Linked DNA regions of Arabidopsis thaliana. The gene in region 2 interacts genetically with the main gene of each other region. Each region holds a gene or a part of one and is shown on either strand. Other genes may lie near its edges. The genes, in order: AGP6 and AT2G42940.

The links.
Region 1: of AT2G42940 (region 2) and AGP6, changing one enhances a phenotype caused by changing the other (phenotypic enhancement), as found in Arabidopsis thaliana (one study listed by BioGRID).

Annotation. Positions count from the first base shown.
Region 1 is NC_003076.8:4,635,003-4,638,798, forward strand, and holds AGP6 (arabinogalactan protein 6), read right to left. Parts: upstream 1,675-3,796; 5' UTR 1,539-1,674; coding exon 1,086-1,538; 3' UTR 642-1,085; downstream 1-641. Other genes in the region: AT5G14390 (alpha/beta-Hydrolases superfamily protein), read right to left, coding at 2,549-3,034, 3,126-3,173, 3,266-3,502, 3,603-3,639. UniProt on the Arabidopsis thaliana protein: Proteoglycan that seems to be implicated in diverse developmental roles such as differentiation, cell-cell recognition, embryogenesis and programmed cell death. Plays an important role during the formation of the nexine layer of the pollen wall.
Region 2 is NC_003071.7:17,861,679-17,865,321, forward strand, and holds AT2G42940 (Putative AT-hook DNA-binding family protein), read right to left. Parts: upstream 1,779-3,643; 5' UTR 1,593-1,778; coding exon 819-1,592; 3' UTR 576-818; downstream 1-575. Other genes in the region: AT2G42950 (Magnesium transporter CorA-like family protein), read left to right, coding at 2,381-2,514, 2,620-2,983, 3,073-3,261, 3,359-3,450. UniProt on the Arabidopsis thaliana protein: Transcription factor that specifically binds AT-rich DNA sequences related to the nuclear matrix attachment regions (MARs).

The DNA.
Region 1 (3,796 bases), on a different chromosome or scaffold from region 2:
AACCAATCAGAGCGAATGGGAAAAAGAGCAATTCTTACGGGTCCTACCTCCATTGACTAATTATTTTTTGTTTCGGCTCAAAGATTAATTATATTATTTTAACGTTTTTGTTCTTTTTATATTTTTTATTATAATATTTTTTGCTTTATTTTTTAATTGTAAAAATGCCATACGATAATATACTGATTTATTTGATTTCACATTCTCTCTAAGATGTTTTAATTTAACTACGAAATTTTTATTTTTATTTTTGAAACAAGATAATAATAGAAATAGTTTATAATATTCTCTGTTTTAAAATAATTATCCTCTAAAGTTTTTGCACAGCAATTATAAAAAAATATTTATTTAATTTTATCTACTTAATATATTTTCTAATTTTTTATTAGTTAAAATATTTAAATAATAAGTATATAATTAAAATTTGTACCAAACATTTACATTTAAAAAAAAAAAAGACAATTATTACAAAACAATATTTTAGTGCTAGAACGACAACTAAATTAAGACGGATGGAGTACAACTTATCTATTAATTTAAATTTTTACATAACTTTTTTTAATAATCAGTCAAAAAACACACAAACAAATATTTCCAAAATTTAAATATTTTCTATGAAATATTTAAATATGTTTCTAAGCTTGTATTTACACATTGGCTGACTTTGGCACCAAAAGAGGTTAGTACATTAAAGCATCCTAAATTTATTAACTTGATTAAAAATGTGTAATAGCCTTTATCATGAATATTATAAATAGTACACAATTTAGTATTAGCCAACAAAATTTTAAAATAAAAATGTAGAAATATCCATTTATATCATTCATGATATCTAATTCACAACACATGACAATAGGAACTAAAAGACCATTAGACCACACAAATCATAAGCATTTCCAAAAAAAATAAGTTTATTAAACAAAATATGAAAATTTGTTCTAACCAAATTTCAAAATGACATTTAGGTTTATATTTACTCCAATTAATCTCGATTTATAAACGTATATATAAAATAAATTTACGGCCTCAACTCAAAAGATTATACAAATCTCTGATCCATCCAACCAAAACGTGGACGACTTAACTTAGAAAGAAAAGAAGAAGAAGCCGACGGTGGCGACTGTGCCGACAACAGAGAACTTAGCAGTTGTCACGGCACCACTCTTGGGTGACTCTGCAGTGGGTCCATCGCTTGGTCCATCAGCGGCGGAAGTGCTGTCGGGGGTGGGAGCCGGTGGGGAGGAGACGGTAGGTGCCTCAGCAGAGTCGCTAGGACTAGAGGCAGAGTAGTCATCCTCGGGGACGGGTCCTTCGGCAGCCGGAGAAGATGCTTTTGGAGAAGAGGCCGAAGATGATTTAGGTGCGGCGGCTGGAGCCTTGGTTGGAGCTGAAGGAGCCTTGGTTGTGGCAGTCGGAGCCTTGGTTGGTGCGGCAGTGGGTGATGGAGATTTTTTGGGAGAAGCTGAGGGAGCGTCGGCGGCGAAAGCGGTGGCGATAGTTAAAGTCAATAGAACCAAAACGACAAATTGACGTGCCATTTTTTTTTCTGTTTTAATAGTTTTTTTATTGAGATTAAAAGGAGGATACTCCAAAAGCTAAAGCAGTATTTTTTATTTATTTATTTTTGTTTTATTTTTCTTATTCTATGGAGAAATACTGCAAAAGCTTTAGGATGTAAGAATAAGACATGGGGGTGTGAATTTATATGTTTTTGAAGATGAGAAAAATTAGGGAAATTGATGGATATGAGAGAAACGATGAATCTTATAATCTACTTTTAGAAAGTACTTTAAAATTAAACAGGACTAGAAACCAATTCTTCTATTTATGGATTCGTACACAATTTTTTTTTTTTTGAATACTAATATTAGTAGCTGAGACTGAGATTTTGACTTTTGTTTGATTCATTGATTGTATTGCAGAAAATTAGAATTAGAGTCTCAAAATACATTTTGGGCAATCTTAAAGAGTTTACTGTACTTTCGAACTAAGCCCAAATTAAAACCCCAATATGAAGACACAACTGACACACAAGTCATTACCAAAGGTCCAAAACATACAAACTTCTGCATGGTGAAGTTTTCTGGGGCTTACGGTTTCGAAGACATTTGTTAATGTTCTGACAGAGCTAGAAAACAGACAACTTCTCTTTAATTCTATCTTTTTGTTTGTGTTATATGCATCATTTTTTTGTCATCATCGTTTGATGTGCAGTGCAGTTTTTAATTCCTCTTTATTTTATTTGCAATGTTCGAATTTTCTTCCTTTTCTACTCTTCAAGACTCGAGTCATAAACCAAGCATGATATTACGAGTAAAAGTTGGGTCAAATAAATTACGTAGCAGGTTATTGTAAAGACCTAATTTCTCTCATTTGTTTGCTTAAGATTTAAGCTTCACCATTCAAGAAATGACACACCCAAATAAAACTAGAGAATAACTCACAAATCAAAACAAAAAACCATAAACATTAGAATGGCCAATCAAGATCAAGATCAAATGTTCTTGTTCTGTAACAACTTATGTACGTGTGGTAGATTTTCTCCGGTTTACTCAGACCGTACTCTATCCAATCTATCAACACTCTTCCTTCCTCTCTCAATCTGATGATGATTCTGATGATGCTGATGATGGTCAACGCTCTTCCTTGCCTTTTCGTGGAAGTCAACGCTTCTCCTAGTCCGATCTAAGTGCTGCTCGAACGTGATTCTCAGCTTACTCTTCTTTGAAGGACCCTTTGGAGGTTTCTCTTTCTCCCTTTTATCAACGCTTTGCCTCGGCTTCTCTCTTCTATCTACGCTCTGCCTCGGCATTTCCAAATCGCTGCTCTGTTTCTCTAATTGGGCCGTGCTCGCCCTCGAGGAGAGATCTCTCTCTACGGTTGTGATGAACTTCTTAAGGTGTTTAATGTATTCAGGATAGTGTTCTAGATCACAGTGGTTACCGCCTTCGAGCCAAAGCGGTTCATATTTCTCTTTAGAGAGTTCCCATAGTTGTTTTCCATGAGAACAGTCAACAACTTCATCACAAGTTCCCTGCCACAAGAGAAGAACCACAAAGAGTTATATACACTCAGTTTTCGAACTGAAAAAAAGGAAAAGAGAGTAAAATGAATATGGAACTCACGTGAATGACGAGAACCGGGCAATTCACAAGAGGTATTTTGTCGATATTCTGCAAATATTGTTAAAAGTGGACACTGTGAAAAAGATAGAGGAAAGCAAGAAAATCGAAAATGATCCATCTAAGAATGATGTATTTAATACCTTGAAGATGTCGAACCAGTATGTCTTCTTCACTGGATACATTACTCTTAGACCAGAAAGAATCGGGCTATGGAGAACAGCAGCTCTTAATTGAGGCAACCGAGCAGCAAGATCTAATGTAGGTCCACTTCCAACGGATTGGCCATAAAGGATTATGTCTTCCTGTTTTGCTCCATAGGTTTCCTCAAGACATTTATAAGCAGCTTCGATATCAGCATATGTATGGTGCTCACTTGGCTGCAGTCACACGAAAACAAGTTCGGTTATTTAGTTTTTCACTCGAATCGGGTAAAATCATTATCGATATCTCTACTTGTCGATTCTCAAAATGACAAACCTTTCCAGTAGATTGTCCATACCCGGAGTAATCGTACCTACAAATACAAAAGCAGAGAAGCAACATTTATAGAGCTGAATCAAGAAGCTATGAAGTTGTTTTGGTTTTTAATGTTCTCAAGGATCTGAAGTTGAGAGATGCATTGGTTCATAAAGATTATTGTGAGCTAATTAAAGTTTCCACACAATCTGAGA
Region 2 (3,643 bases):
GTCAGTTTTAATGTGTTTGTGATTTATCTACTAAGTTTTCCGTGAGGTGCAAGGAGAAAACTTTCACATATTTTCGTCTTCACTGGCTAGATATAAGTACATAACGATTAGCTTCAGCATCACCAAACATGTTATTCTACCCACAGAAGTACTGATTTTAATTCAAGGTAGTTAGATAATGAAATAGGGATTTAGGGAAATAGGCTATGATGTTTAAGGTGATAGACGTACTAATGTTTTTGGCATTGCTCATGAAAGTACCCAATCATAAACATGAGAAACCGCGTTTATTTCCTTAATCCCCAGATATCTGAAACGTCAAGAGTTTGTATCTTGTTAGTGAAACCCTCAAAAATCCTCTAGAGATTTACAGATTATATAACATGTTGAAACTGGGATGAGAGTGGAGTAAAATCAGAAGTTGGTTGCTAGCTCAGTTTCCTAAATAATTGCTGGAACGGTGCAACTGCAATTGGTATCACACAGGTAAAGAGAAATCACCAGTTTGTATGATTCTTCACATGTTCTGCTATTAATGGCCAACATTCACTTTGGATCAAGGATAAAAATATTGTAATATTTTCGTATTAAATTAGAGGATTGTGCTTAAAATTCATAATCATTTACTTTTGCTTTTTTCAGTTTTTTCTTTTTACTGTTGCAGGTACAAACTACAAAGGGAGATAAGCTTCAGTTTCTTAACCAGACTTACGGTTCTCTCTCAACCTACAGACACATTTATCTTTGATTCCAAGGTAAATGAGATAATAAGATTAAGGCATTTGATATGATGAAACGTGGAGATTAGAGCAGTAGTATTAAGGTTTCGACATGACACGCTGCGCAGGCCCCCAAGAGTAGATATCAGAAGCCGAGTTTCCATTAGTGAGCAGATTTTGAGGCAGTCCATGAATGTCATCTAAAGGACGGGATCTTCCATTCTGGTAGTACTGCTGGTTCTGCATAGAGGCAGCTTCATCATCATCCATAGGAAGACGATCAAAAACAGCATTCATGAAAGATGCAGCCATGAGAACAACAGGACCAGATGCGATTAGCCCACCAACCACTCCTCCACCAACAACCTGTCCTTGAGGTCCGGCTAAGTAAATGGTCAGACCAGTTATTCCAAGTGGTGCTGGTGGAGGCAAGATTGATCCAAGCAATGAGAGGATCTCGTAACGTCCGTGTAATGTGACAATTGCTCCTGATGAAGCTGGTTGCCTTAATGTCACATTGGTGACACAACCATTGGCACTGAGAATGCAGAGACCTCTCTGTTTCCTTCTTGCAAAATCCGATAAAGTCTCACAGATGTCACAACCTGAGCTGATCTCAACGGCGTTAGCTCTGAGGGAATTTGGACTGTCGTGAGTCACAATGATTGGTGGTTTGGGTTTGTTCTTGGAGCCAGCGGGTCTGCCACGTGGCCTCTTAGCCATCTCTCCTTCGATTGATGAAACCGGTTGGACGGCTTTGGGTAATGCTCTCAGGTTGTTGTTGGTGTTGCCTCTCTCTGTTGCTTCATGGTTCCTCATTGGAACAGACTTGGATCCTACAGAGGTTGGAGTTAGAGCTGTACCTCCAGCCATTGTTATGAATGTTGTTATATGTTCAACTGAAAGATTCAGAAAATTTGTGAGGAGTTTGTGAGTTTAAGTAAGGAGATTTTGGTGAATTATTAAATGGTAGAGACACCAAAAGAATGATTGTGAGGAGTAGGAGATGGTTAAGTTGTCACCAAAAATTGTGATTAATAGTTAACAAATTTATTTTGCAAAAAAAGAAAAAAAAGAAAAGTTTCTGGCAGCCTACTTCTCAACAGATGATTAAGTATTTGATTCATGACAATTGTCTTCTTTAACAGAGAGATTCATAATAATGCTTAAACATCTTGTAGCTATTTACAACCAAATTTATACCCTTTTTGGGACCAAAACTAAAATCAAATACTGATCGAGAGTTGAGAAACAACAAAAAATGAGAGTCGTCCACTGCTCTGTATTTTATCGCCTTCCATACTCGACTCTTATTGGGCTTTTAAATTGGTCCTACAGAGAAGGTCCAATAAGGCCCAAAATATGTAAATGTACACGTGTGGTTGGTTCTTAGCCTTGACTTGTCGTCCTCGACCTGTGCCACATTCATCTCTCTCTCTCAGTCAAATTGTTGTTTTCTTTCTTCGAATCGGTGCAGAAAATTCAGGGAAGTTCTGGGGAAGGTTGTTGCGTTTGACTCCTTTGGCTTAGTTTTCTTTCGAATTCCGTGCTTCCTGATGATCTTACGTGAAATTGCAGCCTAAAATTTCGAGATTGTTTTTTTTACTCAGAAAACGAGATTTGACTGATATGAATCGAAAATCTGTGATTTAAAGTGAAGCATGAATGCGAATCACAAGAACGGGAATCCAGGTTACCATAATCTCTGGACCAATGGACTTATCTGTGCTTTCGAGTTTTGTCAAGGTCGTCGTAAGAATAACACAAGTGTCCATGGAGATTCGTCTCTCAGAATGTATGATGATTGTTACTAACTTGTTGATACATATTAGTGCTTAGTCTCTTTTTTTCTTTTTCTTGTAGAGTGTTTTTTTAAACAGTGTTGTTGTTGTTGTGATAGAAAGAAACAGGAATGTGAAACAGATCAATTTGGTACTGGTGAAGACGAAGAACATTCTAGGAGTTATTGGCGAGGAATTGGATGGGATAGGATCTCTGAGCTTGTTCAGACTGTTCAAGTTGATAATAATTGGGATTTGCGAAAGATTGACTTAGATGAGGATGAAGCCACTGTTGCTGAGCTTGCTGCTCCTTACTGGGAACGACCACTTGCTGGTCCAACTTGGTGGTGTCATCTTGATGCTACCCATCATGGTATTGCCTCGTGGTTACGTAATGCGCATTGGTTACATCCCGCGGTCAGTCTTGCTCTGCGGGACGAAAGCAAACTGATTAGTGAACGAATGAAACATATTTTCTATGAGGTAACAAAAATCTGAGTTATGTTGCTTCTTTGTAATGTGAGCTGTGCTATGATTCTATAGCTGAAATTTGTTAATATGTTGGTGGATAGGTGCCTGTCAGAGTTGCTGGTGGGTTGCTGTTTGAGCTGTTGGGACAATCAGCGGGTGATCCTTTCATCCAAGAAGATGACATACCTATTGTCTTAAGGTCTTGGCAAGCACAGAATTTTCTGGTGACTGCATTGCACGTTAAAGGCTTTGCCTTGAACATTAGTGTCTTAGGTATTACTGAAGTCCAGGTTTGTTCTTCTTATTTGAATCATTGTTTTCCTTTACTCGTTGATCAATTAGTCAAAACTGGTTTTCAGTCTTCTGGGGTTCCTTCTGTCTTACCAGGAAATGCTTATTGCTGGTGGAGCCTGCATTCCGAGAACCGTTCATGAACTAATAGCACATCTTGCATGCCGCCTTGCACGCTGGGATGATAGGTATTTCCCTTCCCTTGAATCTAGATTAAGTTGTGAAAAAAGTTGTATATATTGGGGAAGTTTAGTATTCATTATGAAAGTCTTTAGCAGTGGATACACATTTACATGGTCTATACGGTGTAGCCAATGAAATTGTTAAACCTTTGTATTGCTTTGATAGAACCTATTTGTCTTATCTTATTCTTAGAGTTTG